Linked DNA regions of Tamandua tetradactyla. The protein of the gene in region 3 interacts with the protein of the main gene of each other region in a biochemical or structural test. Links are inferred from orthologs where the notes say so. Each region holds a gene or a part of one and is shown on either strand. Other genes may lie near its edges. The genes, in order: CSTB, CSTA and CTSB.

What was found.
Region 1: the proteins of CTSB (region 3) and CSTB form a complex in vitro, tested with the Homo sapiens proteins (2 studies listed by BioGRID). The link is inferred for Tamandua tetradactyla from reciprocal best matches to the Homo sapiens genes CTSB and CSTB.
Region 2: the proteins of CTSB (region 3) and CSTA form a complex in vitro, tested with the Homo sapiens proteins (3 studies listed by BioGRID and IntAct, with this or other methods). The link is inferred for Tamandua tetradactyla from reciprocal best matches to the Homo sapiens genes CTSB and CSTA.

The regions. Positions count from the first base shown.
Region 1 is NC_135336.1:101,411,606-101,422,482, forward strand, and holds CSTB (cystatin-B), read right to left. Parts: upstream 5,175-10,877; 5' UTR 5,130-5,174; coding exon 5,064-5,129; intron 2,793-5,063; coding exon 2,691-2,792; intron 2,415-2,690; coding exon 2,286-2,414; 3' UTR 2,009-2,285; downstream 1-2,008. UniProt on the Homo sapiens protein: This is an intracellular thiol proteinase inhibitor. Tightly binding reversible inhibitor of cathepsins L, H and B.
Region 2 is NC_135336.1:23,277,125-23,287,798, forward strand, and holds the start of CSTA (cystatin-A), read right to left. Parts: upstream 4,937-10,674; 5' UTR 4,874-4,936; coding exon 4,808-4,873; intron 1-4,807. UniProt on the Homo sapiens protein: This is an intracellular thiol proteinase inhibitor. Has an important role in desmosome-mediated cell-cell adhesion in the lower levels of the epidermis.
Region 3 is NC_135329.1:33,495,202-33,505,478, forward strand, and holds the start of CTSB (cathepsin B), read right to left. Parts: upstream 5,017-10,277; 5' UTR 4,888-5,016; intron 1-4,887. UniProt on the Homo sapiens protein: Thiol protease which is believed to participate in intracellular degradation and turnover of proteins. Cleaves matrix extracellular phosphoglycoprotein MEPE. Involved in the solubilization of cross-linked TG/thyroglobulin in the thyroid follicle lumen.

The DNA.
Region 1 (10,877 bases), on a different chromosome or scaffold from region 3:
ACATACACGTCCGGCACAGGGATGAATAACCTGAATTTGTAAAGGACCCTGTCAAGGCGATATGCCGTGTAGTCAGGCCCAGATGTCCCGGTGGACAGACCCATTTTCATTAAGCTGGGGGTTCATGGAATATGGGGACAACTTGTGTGCTTTGGATCTATGCTTTTGTGATGATGTTTTTATTTCTTGTACAAACCATCTTTCAAGATTCTGTTCAAATTCCCTGTCAGCCTCAAGACAGACAGTTGCTCTGAACGTAGCTAATCAAAGGGAAAGTGAGTTAGCCTTCGGCGGGCTGCGGCCCCGGCTCTGTAGGGAGAGAACAGCACTGACCGCTCGCTGCAGGCAGTTCAGCTGGGGCCTCGGAGATAGCCCAGGGGGCAGCAAACACTGGGTCACCGCCTACCACCTTCTCCATTGCACAATCTGCATCCGGTTACGTCTTGCCCTGTCTCCCTAACGCGGCTCTCACCTCCTCTGGCCCAGTCGGGCCCCAGCGCAGCAGAGACAAAGGACCAGCCCAGGCTGGGGGCCGGGCCCCACCTCCAGAGCACAGGGGAGGACCCTGGACTCACTGAGCTCAAGGCAGTGCGTTCTGTTCCCCTGGGACCCGGCACGAGACAGATGGCACCACACAGGAGTTTAATGAAGGGACTGTTTACAACCAGGGGGTGGCAGGTGGCTCGGAGGGGACAGGCAGTGCTGCAGTTCCTGAGGGGTCCACAGCCTTGCTGGGGCCAGAAGGTGACCAGTGGGGAAGGCAAGTTAGAAGGGCCAGGAGGTTGCGCCAGGGGAGGCGCCTGGCGGGAGCAGAGGGACCCGCACCAGGAGGGCCTGGGGGAAGCCCCGGGCACAGAGCAAGCAGAGAGGGTGGGGATGAGGGGTGCCCAAGGGAGGGCTCCAGCTGGCGCCATCCCTACCGCCTTCCCACTCCCCCCGGTGCTCTGCTGCTGCCCCCAAAAGTGTCTCTGGTTGACTGCCCTGATGCCAAGGATGGGCGCAGCTGCCAGCCCCTCCGTCTCCCTGGCCACGCCCGGCTGCCGCGGTGCTCAGAGAGCTGCCCCTGACTGCAGCACCAAGTGGCCTCCAGACCACTTTTCAGCTTTGAAGCGAGGCCCCTAGTCCACACGAGCCTGCTTCACCCAGGCAGTCGTTGACGCGCACACGTTCCAGACTGTACCTTGGGCCCCTTTCCACTGCCTTCCGTGCCTGAAGCTGGAGCTGGCCGTGGACGCTGCCCACGCTCAGTGCAGCCACCTGCCTGTGCTGGGGGCAGGGACGCCCCCACCCCCGCCGTGCCTGCCTCCCGGGCAGGGCAGCATGTGCCAGGGAGCAACCCTGCCCCCAGAAGGAGTGCACGGGCCACTCTGGCAATGCCTTTTGGTGCCTTCTCAATGTCCATGAGGCAGGATTGTTTGGGGGAGCATGTCTGCACTGACCAGGAGGAGAAACTTCATTTCTTAATTCCCCATGGGCTAGAAAATGAAGCCAGTTCACGGGCAGCCCCCCGCAGGTGGGGCCCTGGCTTGCCTCACATTCATTTCCCAGAGGGTGTCATCGGTGCACAGGCAGGGGCTGGAGGGCAGGCTGTGCGTCCAGGGCCAGTGAGCAGAGCCCTGGGCACACCAGCCCCTCTGCCTACCTGTGACCTGGCCGTCGTCCCGGGGGTGGGGTCGCAGGTGTCAGCTCCTGTCCCCCGGGCCTGCCCACCCCTTCCCAAACCCCACTCAGGCCCCTGGCCTCCCCACACAGAGCCCTCCTCGAGGGTACCACTGTCCCTGGGCCCTTGCCCTCTGCTGCTGCTTTGCCAGGATAGTCTCGTGCCCCCCACCCACCCCGTGGCGGGCCACCCAAATGAAATACACCCCCTCCAAGACGCCTTCTCACCACCCAGCCGCCAGACCCGCTTCTCTCTCATGCTTTGCTCCCTCCGCGGCACTTCTCGTGATTTTCTATGCGTCCCAGGCATTTTCGGATCTCATGGTTTTACTAAGCCAAAGGAAACCACTTTTTTAAAGTTTGAAAATATTTATTTAAAGATAATACTTAGCCCTCTGTGAAAGGAAGTTAGTTAAGATCATGGAATGGGAAAGAAAGCCACCTGGACACAACAAACAATTTAGGAACAGAGGCACAGGAGGCGGCTTAGCCCCTCCCCTCCCCCACCCCCAAGGCCAGCGCAGACACGTGCTAGCTTTACCACCCCCAGTGCACACTCATAGAGGACAGAGGACCATCCCAACAGGCTAGTCGTAGGGACAAACAGCTCCCTTTGAGGTCCGGAATCAAAAATAGGTCAGTTCATCATCCTTGGATTTGTTGATCTGGTAGCTGGACAAGCTCAGAGGCTTGTTTTCATGGGGGAGGCTCTGGAAGACCCGCAAGTGGACGAAGTGATCGTCGCCGACGTGCACCTGGAGAGCAGGAGGCAGGTGAGGCAAAGGTGGGGCAGCCGCAGCCCAGGCCCGTGCCCCGCCCCGGGTGTGTGCGGGCAGAAGGCGAGGGGGCTGGGCCCCGCAGGTGTGCCCTGGTCCACTCCCACGTCAGTGCTGGACGCCATCCCCGCCCCCGCCCACGAGTCTGGGGGCCATCTGTGCGACCACACAGCGACACGCAGCCTAGGGGCACCCCGCGAAGCACCCCTGCTCTGGCGCCGGCGAGGCCAGGGCCCACTTTGCCCCGAGCCCCACCTTGATGAAGAAGTTCATTCCGGCCACCACCTGGTGCTTGAACTCGACAGCACTGAAAACAGGAAACTTCTTATTTTCCTTCTCCTCCAGCTGGGCCTTCACCTAGGAGAAGGGGAGAAAATGCGAAGACGCTCAGTGACTTCTTTCCTGCCAACGGGCCTCTCACACACGGAATTTGTTTCTCATGTTAAGTTTCTAAACTGAATTCAAACACCAAATCTTCACGTACTTCCTCCAACAGATTCACTCCATGACTGAGGAAACCCAGTGAGCCAAGGAAATTGGTAGCTCTAATGATGAAATACCAAAAAACCAAAAAAGTAATAGAAGTTCCTTATTCATCTCACCAGAATTTTAATATTTCAAAAGACTGTCTGCCTCTCCTCTTCTAGGCATTGGGCATTTTTATCATTACAACAGTAAACACAGGTTTATGCTCTTTATTTCTTCACTTAACACATTCACACGAAAGTCTGCATGTTCTTTTTTAAAGCGAGCCTTCCTCTGCATCGTGTGCCCTGATTCCGTGGAGGATCCCCCTCCCGTGGCCATTTGGCTGTCCCCAGTTTTTGCTGTGACAAGTCACGCTGTGGTGACCACAGGTGGAAAGCCCTGCCCTGAGGGAGGGTTTCTTCAGGACACAGGGCCTTTGGGCCAAGCAGGACCCAAATCCGAAGTGCACAGCCAACATGCGTTTGAGACAACCCTGTTTTCTAGGTCTCCACAGTTTAGGAGATGGCCTCCTCCACGGGGAAGGGGGAGCAAGTCTGTCTCTTTTAGGACAGTAGCTAAGGCCCTGCCTGGAAGCAGCAGTCCATCCTCAGAATGCGTGGGGTGTCCAGACCAGCCATGGCGGGTCCGAATTTTAGTTAAAAAGGAAGACACAGAACTGCAGGAAGGGTGCTGGTTGGGAAATGAGGGAGTCATCAGGAATCACATGCAACTGAGTCACTGTGACGACCCGAACAAGGGCCATGGGCGTCCTGGAAGCCTCTGAGCCTTCAGAGCAGGGACACCTGATGGGGGAGGACAGAGAGGCTGCAGTCTGGCAGGAGGGCGCAGGGCGGCAAGCGGCTGCGTCCTGTCGGCCCTCTGTTAGCTCCTCACGCCGGTGCCCACCCGGCTGACATACACCTGCTGGATGGTCCACACCCTCAGGAGGACAAAGGAGTGATCCTGGGAGCGGCCCAGGGCTGCTGAGGAGAGGTCAAGGACAGGAGGAATCGCCTGTCTTTGGGGGCTTTCAAGAGGCAGAAAAGCCTAAGCTATTTGCAAGAAATGGAGGAAAAAAACCCAAATGGAGCAGAACGGGCGGGCTGGGGGAGAGCGCCCAGCAGGAGGCGTGGAGGGGCCAGCGGGGTGTCCCGGAAGCCGTCCACCAGCCCTGCCACCCGGGTGACAAAACGCAAGGACCTGGTCCTGCGCCTGCCCTCCAGCCTCCTCACCTGGAAAGCAGACCACACTTAGGCCAAGACTAGTGAGGATGCAAAACGCAGCGACATGGTAGGTGCTCCCCTTCTCCTTAGACCCCCAGATACGGCCGGCTTCCATCAGGCAGGCCCAGTGATTTCTCCCAATCACACGGCTGCCCTCTCCCACACCCCCCAAGGGGTGCTGAGCAGGGACAGAGCCCCTTTGGGATGGTGGCCCTGCTCTCCTGGCTGCCGCCAAGAACTCATTCGCTCAAAGTTCCCAGCCTTCTGGAAACTGACCCTGACACTGGAGGACTCGCGGGTCTGGCTACCAGGCAGCTGGGAAGGAAGGGGCCAGGCCTGAGGAAGTGGCCGTGGGAGAGGAGCTCGGCACACTCTCTCCCGGGCAGTTCACGCGCGCCAGTGGAAGGGCCTTCTAAAAGGTCCTCCTTCCCAAGGGCCTCAGGGCACCGACTCGTGGCCACCTGCTGTAGCCCGAGCCGGGCGCAAGGCCCCTGGGCTGACCACAGGCCCCGGCTTCAGCAGCAGCCCGCGGGGAGGGCGAGAGGCAGGCTGCTGCGCCTCCGCCCTCCTCCCCGCGTCAGGCGCCCCGGTGCGCCCCGGACATCTTGGCGGACGGATCCTTGCGTGGAAAGAACCGATTTTGTGGACACGTGACGACAGGACGACCAGGCGGGCCTCCGGGGCTACCGGGCACCTCTCCCCGTGCCGGCTGCGCCCTGCCCGCGGCTGAAGTCGCAGGATCGGGCCGGTCCCACCCTGCGCAGCTGGCCCGGCGCTCGCGCCTTCTCCCGACCCCCCAGGAGGGGAATGGGAGCCCCCCCGCCGGCCCTCCCGCGCCTCTCCGTGGCTCAGCGGCCGCGCCCGGGAACGCGGGTGGGAGTGGGGGTGGCGGCACACCGCGGGTGCAGCCTTCCGGGCCGGGGGCGCGCGGGCCCACCTGGTCGGCGATCTGCTGCGTCTCGGCCGTGGCCGGCTGCGAGGCCGAGGACGCCCCGCACATCATCGCGGCGGCGGGCGGGGACTCGGCTCCCGGCCGCGCGCGGGGCGATAAGTAGTGCGCCGCCCACGTGACGCCCCGTGACAGCCACGTGACGCAGGCGGGCCCAAGGCGCGCGGGGCGGGGCCGGAGGGGGCGGGCGGGTCCCGTGGCGGGCGCCCCCCTCTCCGGGCTGTGGTGTCACTTCCCCGCCCCGCGCCCCCGCAGAGACTCGGGGCGGCGGGAGGGAGGGGGGTGGGCGCGGCCGGACCTCTGCTGGGGGCGCCCCGGGCCGCGCGAGGGGGTGGGGGCGCCGGGGGGCCGCGGGAGGGGCCGCGGGGGCGGGTCCTGCGGGTGAGCTTGGAGACGGGTCAGAGCCCGTGGTCCAGCCGGGACCTGCAGGAGCCTGGGCGAGAGGCCCGCCCCGGACCCAGCCTACTGGCGGGTGGGAGTGGGGGGTCACAAGCCTGGCCCCCCGAGGGGCGCGGAGAGTGAAGCACAGAAGTGGGCAGCCGAGTGCGGCAGCTGAACACCCCAGGCCGGGCTGGGGTCAGCTCTGTGCGGATTGGAGAGGGATTTGGGTTAAGATTTAAATTATACTCAAGCACCTGGGGGCAGGGAAGGGCGCATCCTTGTTTGGGGCAAGAGCTGACTGGCCTTCCAGAATGATCTCCCGCTCCCGGATCCCCGGGCTGCACCTACTCAGGGCTGAAGGGTTAGGCAGGGCTGAAGGGGTTGTGACTGATAAACAGGTCTGTGTGGGGGCGAGGAGCACCTTTCCCATACCTGCCAGGTGGGAAGGGTTCTGGAGAGACGGGACATCGGGTGGAGTCAGAACCCTGGGGAGGTCAGGAAGATGCTCCCTTGTTGTTGAAGAGTGAGTGGTTGAACGAAAGAATGACAGGTTTGATCCTATAGAAATGGAGCAGGTCTCCACACAGAAACAAAGCATCAAAAAATTAACCAAGGAAGGAAAGGGAAGCACTTCTCTTGCTTTTTCCACTCAGTGGCTCTGTGAGGCTGGGCCCCACTGTCTTGTGGAAAATATGTTGATGTGTCCAAAGGCACCAGGCGTGGGGACCACTCTCACACCCCCAGAGGTGGGGCTGCAGGTGTCCACAGCTGACACCTGTGGGGAGAAACGAAGCCAGCTGGTGAGAACAGCAAAGGCTCTTTACTCAGAAGTTGCAAAGATAAGACTTGAAGGTAGGTGGGAGAGTGAGCAAAAGGGAGGCTTCAGGTGGGCGCTGGTCCTGCACTGTGAGGTGGGGAGGCTGGGGGCGGCTGGCAGGAAGTGGGCATCTTCTGTGGTTGGTTTGGGGAGCAGATCTGGTTTTCTGCCGTTGATCCTGAGTTGGGAACGAGGACAAAAATTAGGGAGGCAGGTGGTCACTGACTGCGTCCCAACTGTTTGGGGCCGGTTGTTACGGGGGTTCCGATGGGTTTCGGACCGTGGCACCATGCAGCGGGCACTGTCCCCGAGAGTGCCAGGGAGCCAGTGAGTGAAAGCAGGCCGAGCACACCTCTGGAAAGCGGAAAGAGGAAGACAAGTGGGGTAAGTTGGGAGAGGAAACACATAAACCCTGTTAAAATGCTACTGCCATAGGCTCAACCCCACTCCAGATGGCAGAGCGAGGCGGGTCAGGGCTCTGTCTTGCTGTGGAGGCTCTGAACAACCAGCGAGAACTGGCAGAAACGTCTTTGCCAAAACTCCAGAAAACAGTGAAAGCACTGCAGTCACAGGGCGAGCCCCAAACCAGAAAACCAGCCACTTAAGAGCGGTAGGATCCCCGGGTGCCCGGCCAGCCCTTCCCCACCCCTCCCTGGCTGAGGGTGGGGGTGGCCCATGCCCTGTCCCCGGTGCGGAGGCCAGCCCCGGGTCCTGTGGGGTCAGAGTAGCCATTATGCACGCGCTGGGAGCATGCGAGTCTGGCCCAGTCTGTCTGGGTGTCTGAGGGACTCGCCGCTCAGAGCCTGCCCTGCTCCAGTCAGCAGGCTAGGGGCAGCTGTGGACAGGGAGTGTGCTGCCGGGCTGTGCGGAGTCTGTTTCCTAGGGGAGAGGGGAATTCCTGGGCCACACGTGCACGCCCAGCATAAGGTGCACGAGCAGAAAGGGCAGGGGAGACCTTCTGCTTCAACTCAGCAGGGGAGACCTTCTGCTTCAACTCGAAGCTGTTCCGTGATAAACATGAGCCCCAAAGGAAAGCACTACAGGAGCTTGATCTGCGAAAAGTGGATACATGTTTTCTTTTTTTTTTATGTTTTTTTTTTGGTCAAACCTTATAAAACAAACATACAACCATTCTTGACATACAAACATTCCATACATGGCATACAATCAGTGACTCACAGTATTGTCCAGTAGTTGTGTATTCATCACCACGATCATTGTTTTGAACATTTGCATCTCTCCAGCAAAAAAAGAAAAAAAAGAAAAAACTCATACATGCCACAGCTCTTACCCCCCTCTCTCACCAGTAGTATTTCAACCTATTCAATTTTTTTAACCTTTGTTTCCCTTATTATTTGTTTATTTTTATCCATAGTTTTTAATCATCTGTCCATACTCTAGATAAAAGGAATATCAGACACAAGGTTTTCACAATCACACAGTCACATTTTAAAAGCTGTATCATTATACAATCATCTTCAAGAATCAAGGCTACTGAAACACAGCTCTGCAGTTTCAGGTACTTCCCTCCAGCCACTCCAATACACCATATACTAACAAGGGATATCTATATAAATGCATAACAATAACCTCCAGGATAACCTCTTGACTCTGTTTGAAATCTCTCAGCTGCTGACACTTGATTTTGACTCATTTCTCTCTTCCCTTTTTTGGTCAAGAAGGCTTTCTCAATCCCTCAGTGCTGAGTCCTGGCTCATTGGGATTTTTGTCTCATGTTGCCTGGGGTATTTACACCTCTTGTCATGGTTAGGTTCATGTGTCAACTTGGCCAAGTGGTGATACCTGTTTCTCTGGTTGGGCAAGTGATGGCCTGTCTGTTGCGATGAGGACATTTCATAGAATTAAATCATGATCACATGCGCTACGTCCACAGCTGATTCCATTTGTAATCAGCCAAGGGAAGTGTCTTCTGCAATAAGTGATGCTTAATCTTATCACCAGAAGCCTTTTAGGGAGAATTCAGAAGAGACAGGCGCTCTACCTGCTTTGGCTGGCTTCGGCCAGACCCTCCATCAAAATCGTTGGCTTCACAGGCCTCCCTGCAGATTTTGGACTCTACATTCCCACGGTTACGTGAGACCCTTTTATAAACTTTATATTTACGAATATTTCCTGTTGGTTCTGTTTCTCTAGAGAACCCTAACTAATACACCTTGGGGAGTCTTGTCTCCCAGAGTATGGGAGTATGGCAGTGAGTTCACTTGCTCCTTTGGCTTGGAGAGAGAGGCCACATCTGAGCAACAAAAGAGGTTCTCTTAGACCTATTGTTTTTTATTTTTACAGGATTAAAGGCCCTCAATTTTATTCTGGCTCCCTATGTTTCATTGTTCAAATGACCTATCGAGACAGATTGAGTTATATTGTGCACTACAGAAAATTTAGGTTCCAGACAAAATAAACCTTTCTTCCTTTGGTATCAAAGAGTAGGTGTGGTTCTAAAATACAGACACTGTCTTCCTTACCCCTGCATTCTGAACTACCCTAATCTTGACATGATTAGCTTCATTCTTATCTCTAAATACCTGGTTATAGACATATAAAACAGCCTCTCAAAATCCAGAAATAAATGTGTCTGCTCTAAGAGCTTATGATCTAGGCCCCTGTTTTCTTATAAGCATTTTCTAAAGGAGACCTCACCATAATTGCTCTTTCGTTTCTGGCTTTTTTTGCCTCATCCTGTGTCCCACAGGTTCATTCACATCGCTGCATGCCTCACAGCTTCGTTCCTTTTTGTATACGCACAATATTCTTAAGCCTAATTAAAAAAAATTTATTAAAAAAACCAATCAACGTACAATATGGAAATTATTTTTTGTCACGTAGCTGTATATTCATTACCATCATCATTTCTTAGAATATTTGCATCAATTCAGAAAAAGAAATAAAAAGAAAACAGAAAAAAATTGACACATACCATACCCCTTACCCCTCCCTTTCATTGATCACTAGCATTTCAACCTACTAAATTTATTTTAACATTTGTTACCCCTATTATTTATTTATTTTTAATCCAGATGTTTTACTCATCTGTTCATAAGGTAGATAAAAGGAGCATCAGACACAAGGTTTCACAATCATACAGTCACACTGTGAAAGCTATGTCATTATACAATCATCTTCAAGAAACACAGCTCTACATTTTCAGACAGTTCCCTCCAGCCTCTCCATTATACCTTAACTAAAAAGGTGATAATGTGTAAGAATAACCTCCAGGATAACCTCTCGACTCTGTTTGGAATCTCTCAGCCATTGACACTTTAATTTGTCTCATTTCTCTCTTCCCCCTTTCTGTAGAGAAGGTTTTCTCAGTCCCTTGGTGCTGAGTCCCAGCTCATTCTAGGATTTCTGTCCCACATTGCCAGGAAGGTCCAGACCTCTGGGAGTCGTGTCCCACACAGAGGGGGAGGGCAGTGAGTTTGCTTGTCATGTTGGCTGAGAGAGAGAGAGAGAGAGGCCACATTTGAGCAACAAAAGAGGTTCTCTTGGGGGTGACTCTTAGGTCTTAGGCCTAATTTTAAGTAGGCTTAGCCTAACCTTTGCAGGGTTCAGTTTCATAGGTGTGAACTTCAATATCTAGGGCTCGGGCACATCAATTCTGTGGTCCCCTTTGCTTGCAAGAACATCAGAAATTCTCCAAACGGGGAAGCTGAATATTTCCCCCTTTCTCCCCATCCCCCCAAGGGACTTTGTAAATACTTCTTTATTCACCGTCAAAATCACTCTGGTATTTATTAGGGCATCACACTAACATGGGCAAACAAGATCTCATGCCCTATTCAAGATTCTGTGTAATTATGGTATTCAATTCAACTGACCATACAAGTTAAATTAAGAAACTTTATGAGCCTAAATATGAATTTTGCATCAAATAAACATTTCTCCCTTTAGTCTCACACAGAAGTTCAAGTTTTAAAACATGGATGATGTCATCCTGTAACCAGTCTTCTGGTATACCTTAGTCCTCTCCAGCTCAGCTTCATTCATGTCTCTACTCGATGTTTGATCACTTTTTCAGCTTTTTAGACAGCTCCTGTATGGGGCACTGCTAACTTTCATAGCTTCAGAGCTCTAACTCTGAGTCTCGGGTGTCACACAAATACCCAAAGTTTCTGGGAAAGACCGTGTTATATACAAATATCTCAGAATCTGAGATTTTTGAATTAGCAGTTCCACCTCCTGAATAGATGTGATTGCTGCAAGAGCTTATAGTCTAAGACTTTTCACAATAAGCCCTGCCCTGATAACCCATGCTCTCGATTTTAGTTCACTGAATTTTTGTATTGTAGTTAATCCATATGATTGAGGCATGATATTTGCTTTTTTGTTCCTGACATTTCATCCAACATACAGCTCTTAAGGCTCATTCACCGACTTGCCTGCTGCACAGCTTCATTCCTTCATGTGGCCCCTCAGTCGTCCACTGTATGGACACACCATTGTCCCCTTCCATTCCTCGTCATTGTACCCTTAGGCCACCTCCATTCACTGTGGGTCACGAACACTGCCAGATACCCCAGTGTGCAAACGTCCATTCCTGTCCTCACACTCGGTTCCTCTAGGTATACACTGAGCCTTGGGGTTCA
Region 2 (10,674 bases), on a different chromosome or scaffold from region 3:
GGAGAAGACCAGGAAGGAGTACCTTGTAAAATACATTTATCCAGGGTTGCTTGGGCTCTCCACACAGCTGCAGAGCATGAGTCTGGGGGAGTTGTTAGTTTTCTGGGACCAGAGAATTCGAGCCATGCTGCAGCCAACACCCAGGTGTTTCTCCTAATCTATAATCTTTCTGCAGAAACATTAGGGCTATATGTAATTTAGGAGATAATCGTGGTAACAAGAAGAGGCCGTATTTTGGGAACTTTCCAGAGTGATGAAGGAAAGTTTGGGTCGTAACGTGAAAGGACAGCTGGGCTGGTGAGAGGTGATCTGTGGATATGCGTTGTCTCAGTTTGTAGTGAGAGAAGGGATAGTTTGGGGCAAGGACTCAGAAGGTGGGAAATGATGGCACTTGGCATGTGGGAGGAAGGGCTGGCTGAAGAAAGGAGGATAGATGTCTAAAACTGCAGGGAAGAAGGAGATCAAGCAGAAGATAAGGTAAACTAAGAACTCTTAGTTTAAAGAACTCTTAGTTTAAAAGTCAGAAGACTTTTAAGAAAAGCAGGAACTGAGACATCCTTCTGAAGGGGCCACTGAAGAGGGGATTAAAAAACTGAGGAGAGAGATGGTACTGTGGGGTTTCTAGAAAAGCACCAATGGGACATGACCGAAAGGATTTTCTGGTCACTCTGGTGTCTTGTTGCAGTTGTTTGGCATGAATTCCTAGAATTGTGATGGGCAAGTTTTCTGTTGTCCTGCGTCTCCCTTGAGCAAAGCCCTCTGACTCAGTGGAGGAGGAAGCAGTGATGGTGGGAGTGACCTCTAATTGAGGACTGGATCACCAGCAGCTCACTGGGTCGTGAAAATCAGGGGTGGAGAAGTATAAAACCACACACCATGGGGCCAGGCTGGATGTTGATCAAGTGGGCTTTGGCATGTTCTAATGAAGATAAGAGGGTGAGTGCCTGGAAGATTTCTGGTGTGGCTGAATGGCAGGTTCTTTGGGTGTGGAGAGGTGATTGATAGGGAGGCTGTGTTGAGAGGGCACCAGGGAGTGCCCATGAGTTTAGGCAGATGAGGTTTTATGTGACGTCCTGGCAGACAAAAAATCCTGGTTTGTGGGTATTGCCGGGAATGCTACTGGGCAGTCTGGTTTATGACTTAGGTATGCGTGGGTGTGGGTGTGTGTGTGTGTGGATGTAGATATATGTGTGTGTAATATGAGCCTTTATTTCTGAAAGTAATTATTAAAATAGTATTTCCTTCTGACACACAAACATACTCAGAATTCTCATCCAATGGTTATTTAAATAAAATTTAGGATAATAATTACCAATAATGATCCAGAGAATTTTGCTTTTAGGTGCTTTCATTTGGCTCTTATTTACATGTATTATGGGTTTTTCATGGATAGGGCCTTGTATCTCTCTTTATTTCTTTGTATGTCATCCATCTAAACTATTTTGTAAATTTCCCAGAAAGCAGGGAGCATCTTTATGTCTCCTCTTTTACCTTGCCCTAGAGTAATTCACAATTCACATAGTACTGGGTACATAATCAGTGCTTTTTGAATGAAAAGACCATGGTGGTTTTCCTTCATGACGACTTGTCTCCCAAATAGGAAAAAGTACAGGAGAAGGGTATAGCAATGGCCCTTAACTAATACACTGAATGTTGGAAAGTTTTTTTCCCAAGTGTACTCTGGACACAAGTACCTTTATCTTCCTTTAATACATGATACCGCAACTACCCATTTGATCTCTATTATCTTCAGAAGGGGGAAACATTCAAAAATGTTTGTCTTCCCAAACCCAAGCCTTTATTTGACTTTCTGCTCTTTCTGACCTCATCCATCATCCCCCCTTCATTTTGATGACTTCGAACATGAAAGCATCACTTTTCTTTGATACTTTCTCTATGCTGTGGGATGACTGTTTTCTTCCTTCTGACCCTCCCTCCCTCGCTGGGTTCTTTCAGCTGACATTCTATTAAGAAGCACGCTGATAGGGACAGAGAAATTAAATGAAGAACTTTTATGTCAGCACTGTGATTTTGGAAAACCCCGTCTCCCATAGGTAGCCCTCTAAGGGTGTCATGTATCAGGTCTTCGTAAAGGCTCAGGAGGTCAGTGGACGGCAGCCGCATCTTGGCCTGCTAGGAATGCACCTCCCAGACCCCACCCCAGACTGCACTGAAGCAGAATCTGCATTTTCACAGGACCCAGGTGATTCATGTGCACGCTCAAGTTTGTGAACATTGACTGATACGAGGAGTCAAATGAAGGTATTAATGGCAATATTAACCTCTCCAAGAGAATAAAAGCTCCATATATATATATATACACACACACATATATATATATATACACACACACATATATATATATATATTTAAAGGGAAATATTTAGCCCCAAAGAATGAGTAGTGCAATTCCAAGCATCTAGCCCCATGGAGCTTTCCAGTGTTCCTTAGCTCAGAGGATCCCAGCTCTTCCACTCACACAGCATGTTGATTTTGTTGCCAAACAGTGTTATGGAGTGAAGTTTCAGCAAAAAACAAGAAATAATGATAAAAGCAAATAAGGTAAAAAAATTATATACTTAAAACAGTGATTGGTATGTGTTTTCCTGTCACATAGTAGCCAATACAATAATTTCTATTATGTAGGTGGTAGCTAATCAAATAATCTTTCAAAAAAGTATCAACTCACTAAAAACATTGAGTTCTTGTATTCCAGTAGTCTTGAGTCTTGAAGATGATTGTATAAGTATATAGCTTTTACAATGTGACCATGAGATTGTGAAAACTTCGTGGTGATGCTCCCTTTATCCAAGCTATGGACAGATTAGTAAAAAAATAAGGACAAAAATATATACATAAATACTAGGGGAGCGGGGAATAAGGGGTAAAAAAAATTGGGTAGATTGCAATACTAGTGGTCAATGAGCAGGAGAGGTAAGGAGTATGGGATGTTGGGTTTTTTCTTTTATCTCTCTATTCTTTTTCTGGAGTGATAAAGATAGGCTTAAAATGATCATGATGATACCACTCTCTCCCTGTCTACGTGGGACATGACTCCCAGGGGTGTGGACCTTCCTGGCAACGTGGGACAGAAATCCTAGAATGAGTTGAGACTCAGCATCAAGGGATTGAGAAAAACCCTAGAATGAGCTGAGACTCAGCATCAAGGGATTGAGAAAACCTTCTCGGCCAAAAGGAGGAAGAGTGAAATGAGACTAAGTGTCAACAGCTGAGAGATTCCATATAGAGTTGAGAGGTTGTCCTGGAGGTTATTCTTATGCATCAAGTAGATATCATCTTGTTATTCAAGATGTAATGGAGAGGCTGGAGGGAACTGCCTGAAAATGTAGAGCTGTGTTCCAGTAGCCATGTTTCTCAAGGATGACTGAATAATGATATAGCTGTCACAATGTGACTGTGTGATTGTGAAAACCTTGTCTCTGATGCTCCTTTTATCTACCTTGTCAAGAAACAAGTAGAACATATGGAATAAAAATAAATAATAGAGGGAACAAATGTTAAAATAAATTTAGCTTGAAATGCTAGTGGTAAATGAAAGTGAGGGGTAAGGGGTATGGTATGTATAATCTTTTTTTTTTCTATTATTGTTTTATTTCTTTTTGAGAATTGATGCAAATGTTCTAAGAAATGATGAATATGCAACTATGTGATGACATTGAGAATTACTGAATTTATATGTAGAACAGAATTACATATTAATGTTTTTGTTTGTCTGTTCTTTATTTTTTTTAATTAATAAATAAATTTAAAAAAAAAAAAGAGAGAGGTCAATGTAGCACAGCCCAAGCAGCTCAGTATACCTCATCTCAGCACTTGCAGCTCAGCCCAAGCCCTTGGAGATGCAGAAAGAAATCACCCCAGGAAAAGTTGTTGGAACCCAGAGGCCTGGAGAGAAGGTCAGCAGAGATCACCCTGTGCCTTCCCGCGTAAGAAAGAACCTCAGTTGAAAGTTAGTTGCCCTTCCTCTGAAGAACTATACATTTTTAACTAAATAAATCCCCTTTTATTAAAGGCCAAAAAAAAAATGATCATGGTGATAAATACACAGCTATGTAATGATATCGTGTGCCACTGATTGCATACTTTAAGATGGACTGTATGGTGAGTGAAGTTATCTCAATAATATATATATATATATATATATATATATATATATATATATATATATATATATGTATATATAAAACAAACAAACAAACAAAAACTTTGAGTCTAATTTTTACCAAAATTAACTTTGGAATCACCAAATCACCACAGACTATGCCACTTCTTTTCTCTACTTAGATTAAAACACTGTCTATCAAAAGTTTTAAGTTGGTCACCTTTACAATATTGTTCTTCATTCAAACCATTTTTAAAAGTTTCCATCCAGTGCACTTGAATTCTAGTTCATCAAATATTTAACAACCTTAGATTTTAATTACATGTTAGCTCTACTTAGGAGATTACAAAAGTTTCATCGAAAACTGAATTAGTAATCCTAGAACCACACACTGTGAGAGCTGGAAGAATTTTAGAGATGATTTAATACAAATTTCTCTTTTATAAATAGGGAAGCTGAGGTTCACAGAAGGGATGTGACTTGCTGAGTCCCCCTGACGGTGTTGAGATTTCACATAAAAAGTGAGGTTTCACATAAAAAACATTTTTAGCTGTAAGGGAGCCTGCACACCACCACCCGTTTGCCAGGGTTCTGGTTTTCATGCTCACTTACACTCTTACCTCAAGTCCATCCCAGGAAACCAAGATTTTGGATCAAACCTTCTCATGTGACACATCAACTTACCTCATTAGCAATCTCCTGGATTTCTGGAGTGGCAGGTCTAGCTTCGGTTAAGCCTCCAGGCATCATTTTGGCTAATTGTCTCTTTGCACAGCAGGATGCTGGAACCAAATGATCAGGTAAGCAAGGAGACTCTGGTTTTTAAAGAGGGTGTTTGTTCATAAGCTCCGCCTATGGGATGATTTCGTCTCCACAGAGAACAGAAAGGCACAGTAAAAACCAGTATGTCTTGAAGCAATTCTTCCTGATTCCCCAACAAAACGTGGTAATATGAATTTAAGGAACTGGGGTTGGTGATGAACAAATTAGTGTGTACACACAGTCCTGCTATAAGGAGACTCGAACATCCTGCCTTTTCTTTGACAATGGTTCCGTCTTGTTGCATCCTGAAGCTACAACCAGAATTTCCAAATGTGTTAAAGCCTCCAACACAACACTGTATTTTTTTTTTAAGGAATACTTAATAGCATCAAGGCTGATGGTTAGAATTTACCTCACTTTATACAGACAGTGAAAGGGTTTATCTGGAAACCTTGGCTGGATATTTGTACTTTATTTTTATCTACGTTTCTAGAAACATTCAAAATACACACAAATGCAAAGAATAAAATAACAAACACTTATACTCCCACCATCTAGAATGAAAATTTTTGACATTTTGTCCTATTTGCTTCCCATCTTGTTTGGTAGTTTTTTTTCTGAAGAAAAAACATATTACTGCTATAGTTGACTTATGGGGGAAGCATCTCTAACAAGGAGGTACAGAAAAGCAAAGCACAACAATTAATATCTTGATGTTAATTATCTAATTAATCAAATATGCAATTAATTAATATAGATTTTTTTTAAATGCCTATAAGATTCCTCTGCTGTCTGTCATTCCTTGAGTTGGAATTATTCAGGATGTCTTTACAGTACTCAACATCCTCATAAATTGCGTAAGTCTTGTCTGTGAGCTCATCTGCCACAGGAATTATCTTTACGGCAGTCTCTTCTGTGAGGCTGGGTTGCGATCCTGTAGTACACAGGCCCCAAACCAGTTCTGTTTTGGCTTAGAGTTCTTGAACCATGAAGACACTGGAAATTGGGCTTGTCTCCAGCTTTTGCTGTAGGTCTGGAGTTATGGGCTTCCCGAGGTAGCTGCGCTTGCACCCATGGCCAGGGATGGATGCTTGTGGTCCAGGGCACGCCGGAAGATACATCATGACCTCTGGGTCAGGAAAGGGCAATGAATTCCCCCTCTGGCCTTAGGCAGAAACCCCAGGTCCCTATATTTAGCCTTTACTTTACCTCCCAATCCCACAAGGATACTGAAAGTCCAGTCCCTATGATGTGAAGCTGGACCTACCTCACTTTAGCTTTTAAAGTGACTACCACGGATTTCCTCCCAGTTTCTCATTTTCAAAGTCGATTATTTAAATTGCTAATTTAAAATATATTTTTTTCAACATTCTTATGTTTTTTGAGTAGGGAGGGAGGGAGGGTTTCATAATGTTACCGGACAAAGGCTGTGGATTCTTCTGCCTGGCGAGCTCAATAATCAATTACCGAAACACCGGGGTTTGAAAGAGAGAGAGCATTTATTATTACACAGGTAGCAGGAGAGCAGACAGCCTAAGGGCCCCAAATCTGTCTCCCAGAACAAAGGGGATTCGAGGGTTTTAAGGATTCTAACAAGGGCGATGAGGTCACTTCAGATAGTAAATTCAAAGCAGAAAAAAATAATAGTGTTAACAGGAAGTTCAAAGCAGAAAAGAAAACATTGTTAACATAAATTGACAGGAGCTATCTTATCCTTCAATGGCAGGGCCTAGCAGAGCTGAAAAGTACACACTGTTAGCATAAGTTAACATAAGAAGGCAGAGCTATCTATTTTTCAATAGCAGAGCCCATTGGATATAATTTACAAACGTAAGGTGCTGAGGCTGGTTAATGGTCATTTTCCTTAGCACTGAGGCCTCTAAGAGACTAACCAGATAGTGGGGTTCCAGTTCTCATAGCCACTCAGGCAACAGGTAAAAGATAAGAGCTTTTATCATCCCTCTGGATGTCCCAAACAGCTTAATTATAGTTCAGGGCTTCTGGGTGCTTTCCTTTGTCTACTCCAAAATCCCAAAAGCAAAAGGAACATTTATGTAATGATTCAGTAATTAAAATATCCCTCAAATTCTAATTTCTCAGTTACAAAAATGTGCACAAAAAACCACCTTAATCCAGAAGTATGTTTAATACTTACAGAGTTCCAGAGGAAGTAAATGTTCTCCAGTCGGGGACTCTGTCTGCCCCAACTTTGCTGACCAGGTGTAAGCACCTGGCACCTAGGAAGAATTCACCCATTGTTTGTTGTTGATGCTAATGAGCTTTTATTGCTTGTGAGGAGCTTTAAAAAGCTATCATTAGGTTTTAATGTTCTTTTTCTAAAAAAAAAAAAAAAAAATTCAGCCTTTTCTTTGTATTTTATGTACTGTTTTTATTTTGGCGATTTTAACTTTAAAATAGGTCATAGGGAACAGAAGATGTTAAAACCCCTGTAATTAAAATTATCGACCATTTATTGAATACCTATTGTAATTCAGATGTTGTGCAAAGCGCTTTATATACTTCTTCTCATTTAATCTTTAGTTAATCCTGTTCCTTCCCTCTGAGCTTTTGGAATTGTTCCATGAGGGTGAGATGGTTGTAGCTGCTGCAAGTTATCTTGTGACTATGCAGGGATATTTGTTTATATCCTGAGCATGGCAGCAGAAATATGGAAAGAGGGTCTTGAGGATGTTGAGAGAAATAAGACAAAATAGAGTTGCTATGGCTAAGAGTTTTTAAATGGAGGTGCGAGGTCATTCTGGAGGTTACTCTTAGGAAATCTCAGCCAGATTTCACAAACTGCCACAGTGTGCAAAGCCTCAAGCAACGGCATTCCTCAGAACCCCAAGGATATCCAGGCACCATAGAACCACAAGATAAAGAACTCAGTGAACTTTCTAACCTGAAGGACAATTGGATATCCACCAATCACAAACAATGTATGTAATCTTTCTTTTTAAAAACCCTTGCCTGGAAATACCAAGATGAGACACTATTTGGGTTGCTACCCAAATTTGTGTTTCCTGAATTGCAATTCTAAGGTCCCAAATATATATGCAGTTTGTTGCCTTGCAGCTTAGTTTATTGATTGGTTGACAAGGATATTATTGGGTCTTTGTACTGCGGCTGTCTAGTCCAGGCTTCTTGTTAAGTAAGATAATAAATGTCCTTATTGTTTAAGCCACAAGTTCTATTACTTGCCCCCCAAAGTATTCTAATTGATACACTTAAAGTGTAAGAATTCGAGAGTTTTGCCACGCAAAGGAGGACTCCAAGAGACGTTCTCTCATGCAACACGCAAAGGGGTTTATTTACCACACATGCGTGGGGCTCACTGAACACGCAGGAACAGAGAGCCCCGAGCCTGGGTTTGGGGAAGCTTTTAAGGGGTAGGAGGAGGGTGGTGAGGGTCGAGCATGGGTCACAGGTGCTGCTTCATGCAAGAAGCAGATAACAAACATTTTGCAAGAAGCAGATAACAAACATTTTGCAAGAAGCAGATAACAAGCATTTTGCAAGAAGCAGATAACAAACATTTTGCAAGAAGCAGATAACAAACATTTTTCGCGCATGAGTCATGGGAGCTGCTTCATGCAAGAAGCAACTGTCTCGTTGTGCAAAACTCCCTTACTCAACCTTCTCAGTTGCATTCTTAGATAAACTTCCTCTGGCAGTTACAACCTTGCATAACCAAGGCAGCAGATAACCTTGCATAACCAAGGCAGCAGATAACCTTGCATAACCAAGGCAGCAGATAACCGCCCCTGGGAAGTTCCGTGTTGTTTTTCTTAGCCTGATGGGGCCCATAACTCTTTTCTTTACAATTCTTAACACCAAATGCATAGCAGTGAATATAAAATGACACAAATGCTTTTGCTGGATATTTCTATCGTTCAGAAGCTAAAATATATGTAAATAGCTAAATTAAGCAAGAAAAATTAGCTACTGTTAAGCTTTATAAAAATCCTTCTTTACAAAAGGTATCATTAAAGGGGTATAAAGAAAGTCTACAGACTGAGGGAGTGAAGAAAATGAAAGATACAGCACCGCCCTTCGGAAGTTTATACTCTAAAGGAGAAGAAAGAAGCGACCCAAGTAAAGATCGCATCAAAGCTGAAAACTGCAAACTATGTATAAGTTAGAAAGACCAGGTATATAACTACTGGGTATATATGAAGGTATTGGAACTGGATAGGCTTGATTAGAAAAAACTTCTTGAAGGAGACTGTTTCTCATTTCAAAGGATTTGAAGGAAAAGTTGTTTTTAATTGGCTATATGATTCCCTGCCCTTGAGATACTTTTAGTCTATTAGAAAATAAGTATATTACAAGGCTGCACTAATAAGTATATTACAAGGCTGAAAATGGTTAAATGTCCAAAGATTTGTATAGAAGTGCAATAGTGTAGCAGGCAGGCCTCCCCCCTTTCTAGTTCAGCTGTGCTCTCTGTGGAAAATCCTCAACCCCCCTCTCCTGACCTTCAGGAATGGATAAAACTGCAGGCAAGCATAAGACACATTCCTGGGATAGAAACCCCCTTCCCTAGCCTTCAGGAACTGGTGAAGCTGCAAGTAGGCAAGATAAGACATTCTGGGGTAGGGACCCCTCCCTTAATGGTTCAGCTTTGGGCCATTCCCAACTTAAATCAGCCAATTGTTTACCTTGTCTTTAACATGTCAAAGAGTCTATAAAAGCTAAGGTTGCCTTTTGTTCGGGGCTCAGACTTTCAGAGGTTACTGCCTGAGCCCTATGGCCATAGTAAATAAAACCTGCTTCCTGAAACTACGGATCCTTAGTCTCAGTCTGTTCTAACTTCGTGGAACCTTCCTGGAGGCCTGCGGCCTCGTTCCTGGTTTTCGTGCTACAATAGGAGTTTTAAGAAAGGAGAGTTTGCTTCCAACTGGGAAGGTCAAAGAAATCTTCCTGGGAGAGAGAGAATCTGAGTTGGGCTTTGAGAATGTGTAGAATTTGGACCTGCAGAGTTGCAGAAAAAAAAAAAAAAAAAAGCATTTAATGGGCAGAGTGAGTCACAGTATATAGAGACAGGAAATTGGGTTAAGCATAGGTGATGGTTTGTTGGAGTGAAGGTTGGGTGAAGGGCAGAGGGAAGCTTAATTCCAATCGCAGAGGAGGTGGAGTAGGGGGTGGGGGCTGGGAAGCAGTGGTAGGTAGGGGTCGAATCATGGTCAGAGAGGGAAAAATGCATTAAGCCCATTATCATATACCACTACAGGCTCACTGGACTAGTTATCAAAAAGATTTTTAATACCAGGTGTTGGCAGTGATGTGGAACAACTGGAACTCTCATCCAGTTGGTGGAAATGCAAATGGTACAGCCACTTTGGAAAACAGTATGGCAGTATGTTATAATAGTAAAGCTACCTTTACCTCATTTCCACTTCTGTTGGAGTTCAGAAAAAGAATTCTAAGAGCAAAAGGAACTTTTGATGCAGAGCTCTCTCAGCCCCCTCCTCAGCGTCCTTGGCAGGTCCAAGGACCCAGATATGCACCAACTGCCATACTAGCTAGTACTATATCCTCTAGAAGGTGCTGCTGCTAACACCCTCGCCTGCCAGCATCTCACCCTGCCTGATACATGCACCTACACATCAAAGGAGAATACATCAGCAATCCGTCATACCCTAAGTCAATAAGCCCCCATCCAATCAAGGGTCAGCACACTACCTAGTGGGCACTCTCCCCTCCTGGTGTCACTTTCCCTTTAAAACACAGCTCCCAGAACAAAGACCTGGAGCTGTTTTCTTTTTCTTCCTGCTCCTACCTACGTT
Region 3 (10,277 bases):
GAAAGCTAAGAAGGGCAGAGAGGAGATGCAAGTCCTTCTGGCAGATGGAAGGCAGGCCCAGAAATGGTACCTGACTTGGCAGTACACAGGAAGCTGAAACCCAGTGTTTGCAGAGAGGAACCCTGATGGGAAGTAAACTTAATCATCCTGTGGATCCCAAACAAGCTTGAGACCTGGAGGCATCAGGTGATGTGGAAGGGAGATAGGAGGCAAAGGCTGGAGTGTTAAAAGTCTAAATATCAGGTGCATGGGTGGTTCAGTGGTAGAATGCTCGCCTTTCACGTGGGAGACCCAGGTTCGATTCCCAGACCATGCACCACCCCCTCCAAAAAAACAGGTCTAAATATGCAGGAGGGTTTGAAACTAGATGTCCTACCTACCCAAACTAGGGTGGAATTTAAACATTAACAGTCATGTAAGGATTCTAGATTTAGCTCCCACATCATCCTTTCTTAGCAGCTCCTGGAGTGTGGTTTACTGAAAAATGAGGGTGTAAACCAAGAGAAGATATGGGATCCAACAGAGATGCTTAAGTGTTCCCCCATTACCCTGTAAGTATAACACACATCTGTGTATGGGACACCCAGATTCACCAACTTATTGTCAAACCCCACCATCCTCTTGGCTTCCCCTGTATGCTTTGAAGTTGCACCATAGGAAAGTGCCAGATTTTGACCCTTTTGATCTTCAAAAATTCCAATTCCTTAGAGTTCAACCTCGTATTTCTAATCCTTGCCTTATTTCAAACTGTCGAAAGAAAAAAAAAACAAACAAAACAAAAACAGGAAGACATTGTAAATCTGCGCTTCTAAATATTTCAGTCCTTACCTCACAGGAAAAAGGATATTCTATAAAACCACAACTTCATTACCACATTTAGGAAAATCACACAACAGATATTCCAGACTCAAATTTCCAGTTATCCCAACATTATGTCCTCTGCAGCCTTTCTATTAAAAATGTGACCTGCAGACCAGCAGTATCCATAGCACCTGGGAGACCATTGGAATCAGAATCTGTATTTTATGTTAAAATACATTTCCCTTCCCATTACTATGCAAAGTTAAGAAGCACTGACTTCTAATCCCGCCCTGCCCCCCTCCCCAATTCAGGATACAGTCAATGCTCACGTATGCATCTGGCTCTTTGTGGTCTTCCGATTCCATACCAGCCTTGTTCACCTCCCCCGCCACCCCACCCCACCCCATTCTTCATGACACTGAATGCTTTCAAGGGCTTTCCAGCAGAATATCCTACATCCTGGATTCTTCTAACTATATCCTCATGAATAGATACAGGTCAAACATTTTTGACAAGACTATTGCAGAGGGAAGTTTACGTTAATCTACTGCATCTCACCAGAAGACACCTAATGTCAAGATTTCCCATTTCTTGGTGATGTCCGGTTTGACCTCTCGTTTAAGGTTGACTGCTACATGTCTTCACTGTAATTTGCTAAAGTTTCCTTTTTTGGGAATTTGTACCTCATCTATGGGGTGATACTTCAATTTGACACTGTGTGAATATCCTTCTTGGCAACAACCTTTCACCCGATGCTTTTAGCACCTATTGATGATGCAAGGATGACTAAGCACCTTTGATAATGTTTCATCACATTGGAGTCACAAAATGGTTCATTCATAATTTTATCATTCTTTCTACACTTTAACTGACATTCTACAAAAAGGCTTCTCCCCCATCTATCCCCTTTTCTCAATTTCAGCAAAAGCAAAACATTCAGTGTTATGATCTCTTATTATTCTTGATCGTCCCGTCTAACACGTTTGACCAGTGGAAGGTCCTTCAAGTGAGCTCTTCTATCCTTCTGACACGACCCTCTTAGTCTTCAAAATTTTCTTGCTTTGCGGCACAAGATGTTCCAGATTCACCTTGTAATTTCCCTGCCCCAGACCCAGAATCAGACTTTTCATCAAGGAGCTTGAATTCCTTTAGTGGGAAATGGTTTTCAGAATCCAAGACCGGGTTCTACATCTGCTCACCACTACAGGAACAACAATGTTTCTAGACCCATTTAGTAGACAAAGCTGGAGAAAACATTTTATTTCCTAATACTGCCATCCAACTAACTCCTCCTCCTCTCCTTTCCCTTCCAGTACTATGATGTACAAACACGTGGGAAATGAGGTCATGGCAGCCTGAGGCAACCAGTTTGGTGGCTGGGGATCCCTATATTTTAGTTGAAAACTCTCTTCCGATTTTTTCAAAATTAGGTGAGATTGTGCAGATCCATATTCCATCTGTACAGGTTTTACTCTCAGCCCACCACTACAACACTAAGCCCAGAAGGGCTGTGCTATAAGAGCTCTGCACCTCCCTTGTTAGCCCTTTTTATAGAGAGCTCAAGTATTGTCCTGAAGATTCTATCTCTAATACAAAAGACAAAGGGACCCCCTTCATTATTTGACCAGAAAAGAACTCCCAGCCTTCTACAATGCAGGATCCCTATTGCCATGGGTTTAAGGACCCAAGGCTCCCCTGAAATGAGATCTCCCTTCCACTTCTCAATCCAAATGTCAATAGTTATACAAAATATCTTATACCCCTAATACGCTACAACTTCTTATTCCAACTCTCAGGGCCAGCAGCTGCGAGCAAAAGAGAGAACCTGTCTACAAGAGGAAGGGTATCAGCCAAAGCTGCAGAATCAGCATCACTCCTGGAGCCAAAGGGCTTCCCTGCCTCACCGCCGGACCAGTCCTAACAGAACATCCACGGGGGTTACTGGAGCCAGGGCTGGGCCTGGCCCATTGCCTCTGCCTAGGTCTGCAAACACCCTGATATGGTATCTGCGCCTTTCCACCTGGTAATATCTGTAGCTCTGGGATACACAACAAGATTCAAGTAGAAGCCACTTTTATCCAAGGCACGCCCGACTCCACCTTTGGGAAAGCCTTTCTCCCTAAGGCCCAAGGACCCCAGATCATTGTCAACAGGGTCAACAAGGAAACGAGATTACTGAAGACAAGTTAAGCAGCCTTTACCAAGGCAGGCACTCCTCTTCACATTCTTTCTGAATCTGCAGATTCATTTTGATGCATAAATAGAACACTTCTCAGCTGCAATCCTTCAGGTGGGAGACATCTGAGGAACACTGAGATGGTTTGAAGCTTTTATGGCCCCCAGGAAATCCTGTTTTTAAAGCTAATCCATTCCTGTGGGTGTGGACCCAGTATAAATGGGGTCTTTTTTTTTTTTTTTTTAACATGGGCAGGCACCGGGAATCAAACTTGGGTCTCTGGCATTGCAGGCAAGAACTCTGCCTGCTGAAACACCGTGGCCTGCCTGATGATGAATTGGATCTTACGATGTTATCCTCAGTCAGGATGGATCTTAATCCTCTTACTGGAGTCCTTTACAAGAAAATGAGATCAGACACGCACAGAGAAAGCCAGGGAAGCAAGAAACGGAAAGCAATGAGACCCAGAAGAGAGGGGAGACCAGCAGATACCACCATGTGCCTTGCCATGTGATGGAGCAGTCAAGGATCCCCAACGTCTTCAAGAAGAAAACATCGCCTTAATGATGTCTTCATTTAGACACTGTTTAACCCAATCCATTATAAAAGCCAACCCATTTCTGACATAACGCTTTTTTGGCTGTGTAGCAGACTAAAACAGTTCCTTCAAGGTACCAATAGGTGCCAGGTGTCCCTTTTCACCCCACAATTTCCTCTCTCACTGGATACGGTGTTTTTACTGAGTCGCCTAGAGGTATGGGGCCTGGGCTACAGCCCACCTCTCTGGGCCGGCCTGCTGGCCTTCCTCAATGCCTGAGCAGAAGCTGGGCTAGGCCCAACAAGAAACCAAGCCCAATCCACATCTGTCTGCCTACAAACTCCGCCCACGCTATTCTCTAGGCAGTCCCGCTCCTAGGCCTCTAGGGTCATTAACTGAGGGAGGAGGTGCTGTGCCAGCGAGTCGGGGTCTGATGACTGTCAGTCCTCCATACACGTTAAGGAGTAGGGAGTGGCATCTCTCCCTGTGTCCTCAGAGAGGAGGGATACTGAGGTCCCCAGGCCCCATACAGCTTTCTCTCTTTCCATTCTCCTTAGTTTCTCCTCCTCTGTTTACGGATTTAATTCTTAATTTCGGTTCCATCCTACTCCATCCAATTCCTGGTTCCTGTTTTTAATAGGCCCCTTCCTCTGGGGTCCCTGGAATTGTGTGGGATTGTGCGCAGAAAGTTGCACAGGCAAACTCTGACACGAGGAGGGAAAAAACAGCCTAAAATAGATGCAGGTAGATTCTATTATCTCAGCAATTCGCCTTAGGAAACTGAGGCCCAGGGGGTAAGTTTCCCCCCTGGGGAAACTCACTCAGTTTAGGAAACTGAGTGCCCAAGGTCACTGAGCTGGCAAGGGACTCGGGCTACGGCCAGGGCTGGATGGGGAGTCAGATTCTAGCCAAAGGTCACCGGGATCCGAGCCATATCCTTTCCCGCAGGACCCTCCCTCGGAGTTTCCCTACAAACTCCCCAGCTCTGCCTGGGGCCCCCTCCAGGGCCCCGCCCGGCATCTAGACCGATCACGGGGTCGCCGGACAGACCGGCTGCCTGCCTGCGTGCCTTGTTTTGCTTTTCTCGCCACAGCGACTTCCAGGAGTGCGGAGGCTGCCACCCCGGTTCATCTCCGCAGCGACAGCCTCGAAGGTCCCCTGCTTCCCGCCGGCGGTAGCCCCCAGCCTCGCCATCTCCCAGGGACGCAATCGGACTGCGCCTGGGCCTGGAGCCGGGGATCCCGGTGCCGGCCCCGCCGCGCGGCTCCCCCTCCCCCTCCGAAGGTCACTTCCGCCCCGGTCGCGCGGAGGGCCAGACCCGCGCCCGGGCCCGCAGAGGTGCGCGCGCCACGTGCCGCCGGCCCGCACTCACCGAATTCAGCTGCGGGAGCCCGGGGCTGCAGCAGCCAGAGGGGAAACACAGGGACTCAGGAGCCGCCGCCGCCGCAGCCAACGCCGCTGCCCGGAGCCCGCCCCGGCGCCTATTTATCCCGGCCCGGCCCCGCCCCGCTCGGCTGACTCGTCCCACGTGACCTTGGCGAGCTGCAGCCGCCCGGGGCCATCCCGGGGTCAGCCTCCCGCGCCCACCCGCGCACCCCCGGGTCCCTGCCCCTGCCGGCCCCCGCCACACTCCGCGCCTCTGAGGGCGTGCGCGCGCGGGGGGCCTGGGCAGGCCAACCCGGAAAACGCTGGGCACCCCAGACGCCCGCCGGCCTCGGGAGGTGGCAGATGCGCTCCGGACCTCCCACTTCCCTTCCCCGTCTCACCCCCGACCCCCACCCCACTCCCGCCGTAGGACAGGCGAAAACCTGCTATGCGAGACGCGAGCAAGGACTCTCTAGACTTGGACGGGGGTCCAAAGGATCTCCACCCACCCTACAGAAATTCCCCCAGGGACCCCTCTCCCCAAAGACAGCCTTTTTCAAAGCAGCCCCCCTCCCTCCATCCCCGGGATCTCGGCGTGGCAGGGGAGGACTAGCTGTAGCTAATCTCTTTCATTCAGCAGCCATTCATTCAAAACTCCTGCCAGGGTCGGGGATGTGAGGACAGCTGGCCTGGGGAAATTCCCTGAAGAGCCCTTCAATGTTAGCCTTTTACCTTAGCATTCGGAGAACATGTATATAAGACATTTCAGCAAACAGTAATAATAAGTAGTTATTACCGTGGAGTGTCAACCCTAGGAGCTGCGTCAGGAATTCCACCGAGAAGCAAAAGAAATTTGGGGGCTGAAATCTGGTTGGAAGAAGGGTACCAGAGATCTCTCATGAAGCTGTGGGAACCCAGCAAGCACATTTTTTACTTAGGGCTCCTTTGGAGGAGTGACCTGGGGAGGCTGATGGGGGGTGGCTCAAAACTCTGTCTCTAATCCTCATGACAATCTTGTAAGGTAGATGGGATCCGAATTTTATTCAAGAAGGTCAGAAAAGTTTGGTATTTTATCCAGGGTCTTGTGGCACTAAGAAAGTTGTGAATTTGGCTGTGCCCACCGTCAGCTGTTGCACCGTTTGTGTGCCAGCCAAAGCCCATGAGACGCTCTTCTTCCATTTACGGAGAAGCGTGTCAGAATCCACTTAGGAATGGAAGGGGAAAAAAAAATCTACAGCCCAAGCATGTTACTGAGTTCCATACTGAGTAAGATGACCTGAGGAATTTATGGCAACCGTGGAGCAGATTTGAAAACAGAATGTCCCAGCTGCCTCCTTATCTCAGCCGTATTCTTAGAGGCATGGTCTCCAGACTGCAAATCAGCGTTTTACCAGGTCATCTTCCATATATGAGACAGTCATTTTAGAACTGCATATAGAGCCCATAAAAGAAGGCACAAATGGGGAGGACACAGAAATAACCATGACAAACAAATCTCTCTATAGAGATAGTTTTTATTGCATGACAGCAGGTGTGCTAACTATTATACCTGCATTATCTCAATTTTATGGAATTTTGCATGTGCCATTATAGAGATTAAAAAAAAATTTTTTTTAAACATAACAACATACAAACACAAATATTCTTACCATGTATCATTCCATTCTTGGTATATAATCAATAACTTACAATATCATATTCATCACCATGATCATTTCTTAGAACATTTGCATCAATTCGAAAAAGAAATAAAAAGAAAAAAACTCATGCATATCATACACATTTGCCCCTTCTCTCATTGACTGCTAGTATTTCCATCTACCCAATATATTTTAGCCTTTGTTTCCCCTATTTTTTTCTATACCCTTTACCATTCCCTTTCATTGATCACTAGCATTTCAATCTACTAAATTTATTTTAACATTTGTTCCCCCTATTATTTATTTATTTTTTATCCATATGTTTTACTCATCTGTCCATACCATAGAAAAAAGGAGCATCAGAAACAAGGTTTTCACAGTCTCACAGTCACACTGAAAAGCTATATCATTATGCAATCATCTTCAAGAAACATGGCTACTGGAACACAGCTCTACAGTTTCAGGTACTTCCCTCTAGCCTCTCTAATACACCATAAACTAAAAAGGTGATATCTATAAAATGCATAAGTATAACCTCCAGGATAACCTCTCGAAAAAAAAAAAACTTTTGAAAATAAAGCAACCAACTAACGAACAAGATATATAAGTACTTTTAGGTAGAATTTAATTATTCCTGCAAAAAGGAATGTAGCACATCATATAATGTTTTCCTTACTGCCCTCCTTAGATCTTAAGCTCCATGAGGGCAAGAATTTTTGCCTGCATTGTTCTTTGCTGGATTCCTAGCACATGGCACAGTGCCTGGTACATAATAGATAGTGAATCAATATTTATAGAGTGAGTGCTTAAATGAATGAAGTGTGTCCTGATGGTTGACTAGAATTTTGACTTAACTTGCCAGGATTGGGCTCAGGAACTTGAGGCACAGTCCTCAAAACTACAGGAAGGCCTTGGCTTGTATGAGAAGTAGCTATTTGCCTGCTGAATACCTGGAAAAGGGGCCTAGGTATGTATCCAAGAGATATGAAAACATATGTTCCCACAATAGCATGTATACACAAATGTTCATAGCAGCACTATTCATAATAGCCAGAAGGAGAAAGAACCCAAATGTCCATCTTCTGATGCATGGATAGGCAAAATATGATACATCCATACAATGGGATATTATTTGGCCATGAAAAGAAACAAAGGACTGAAACATCTACAACATGGATGAATCTTGGAAACATTATGCTAAGTGAAAAAGTTACATTCAAAAGGCCACATACTATAAGATTCCATTTATGTGAAATGTTCAGAATAGACAAATCTGTAGATTACAACTTCATTTACACATGTAAAGGAATGGAACTAAGCTAGAACTAAGCTAGAGTAACCATTTTAATGACAAAACATCATAGTCAACTCTTAGTTCTGGACTGACTCAAGTTCCTTCATTAATAGTAGGGGGTTGGCAGGGAAATGGCTCAGTGGCAGCATTCTTGTCTGCCATGCCTGAGACCTGTGTTCTATCCCCAGTGCCTGCCCACGCAAAAAAAAAAAAAAAAAAAAAAAAAAATCAGGGGGTTGTCTTTCTGATCATAAGACTCTAAAGTTGTAAAACAGGATAAGGGAATACAAGTGGAGCCAGTAGCAAGGTTTTTACAATCTGCAATTCACTGGGGTATATACTAGAAAGTAAGAAAAAGGCATCTATATAATGATTCAGTCATCACAATTATTTGTCGAATCTTAATTCCTCAGTTACAATTCCTCCCCTTTCTTTTTTTCCTCCCTCAATCTTGAGGGACATCTGGATGACAGCCACTCTGACCTCATCATGGTGAAAAGGGGATGTCAACCTTATGGGGTAGAGGAACGAAACTGATTGTTATTCCTGGAGAGACTGGTACCTCTGGGTTTCAGCGCTTAACTGGCATAGGGAAGATCCAGAGACTTCAAGTCTCTGTCTGAACAGCAAACTTAACAAGTACATTGAAAAATTATAAGTTTAAATAAAAGGAACAGAAGGATTATGATGCGCTGATTTATAACTCTATCACACTGGGGGAAAGAACTTTTCATGGATTTTCAGCTAGAACCCAGGGTGTTACTTAGGATTCAGGAACAGTGTTGGCAAATGTTTGGCTGAGACCCACATGAGAGTAACCTCCAGAATGACCTCCTAACTCAATGCGAAATTTCTTAACCATTGAAACTTTATTTTGTTTTATTTCTTTTCCCCTTTTTTGCTCAAGAAAGCACTGCTACTCTATGTGCCTGGGATGTTACCCCTGAGTTATGGCCCATGTAGGGGGCAAGGTAGTGAGTTTATTTGCAGAGTTTGACATAGAAAAAGGCCACATTTGATCAACAAAGAGGTTTCGGGGGTGACTGTTAGGCATTGCATCATCACAGAAATAAGTTTTATAAGTATGAGCTTCAAGGTTGAGGGTTTGAGTGAGGACAACCAAATCAATAGGCTGAGCCCTCAATCTTGGGGTTTGTTCATATGAAACTTATCCCCGCAAAGGATAGCCTATTTAAAATTAAGCCTAAGAGTCACCCTGAGAAAATTTCTTTTGTTGCTCAAATGTGACCTATCTCTCTTTCTGCCAACACAGCAAGCAGACTCACCGCCTTCCCCCTCTCTGCGTGGGACATGACTCCCATGGGTGTAAACCTCCCTGGCAGTGTGGGATGGAAATCCTAGAATGAGCTGGGACTCAGCATCAAGGAATTGAGAAAACCTTCTTGACTGAAAGGGGGAAGAGAGAAATGAATCAAAATAAAGTGTCTGTGGCTGAGAGATTTCAAATAGAGTTGAGAGGTTATCCTGGAGGTTATTCTTACACATTTTATAGATATCCTCTTTTTAGTTTAAGGTGCATTAGAGAGTCTAGAGGGAAGTGCCTGAAACTATAGAGCTGTATTCCAGTAGCCATGCTTCTTGAAGATGATTGTATAATGGCATAGCTTTCACCGTGTGTCAATGTGAGTGTGAAAACATTGTGTCTGATGCTCCTTTTATCTACGATATTGAGAGATGAATAAAAAATATGGATTAAAAATAAATAAATAATAGGGGGAACAAATGTTAAAAAAATTGAGTAGATTGAAATACTAGTGAACAATGAAAAGGAGTGGTAAGGTGTATAGAAAAATAAATAGGGGAAACAAAAGTTAAAATCTATTGAGTAGATGGAAATACTAGTGCTCAGTGAAAGGGAGGGGTAAGAGGTATGGTATGTATGAGTTTTTTCTTTTTATTTCTTTTTCTGGAGTGATGCAAATATTCTAAAAAATGATCATGGTGATGAATATACTACTATGTGATGATATTGTGAACCACTGATTGTACACCATGCACGGAATGTTTGTATGTTAAGTATGTTCATGTTTGTATGTTGTTTTGGTTTGATAATAAAAAATAAATTTAAAAAAGAGATTGAGGGCTTGGCTTATTGGCATATTTACTTTTTGTGAGGCAGGGCTCATATATTCTAGAGTTTATTTTCATGGGTCTTGTTCTAGTTTGCTAGCTGCCAGGATGCAATATACCAGAAACAGAACGGCCTTTAAAAAGGGGAATTTAATGGGTTGCTAGTTTATAATTCTAAGGCTGAGAAAATGACCCAATTAAAACAAGTCTATAGAAATGTCCAATCAAAGGTATTCATCCAGGGTAAGATACGATTGGTATCCATCCAGGGTAAGATACCTTGGTTCAAGAAGGCTGATGAAGTTCAGGGTTTCTCTCTCAAGTGAGAAGGTGCATGGCGAACACAGTCAGGGCTTCTGTCTCAGCTGGAAG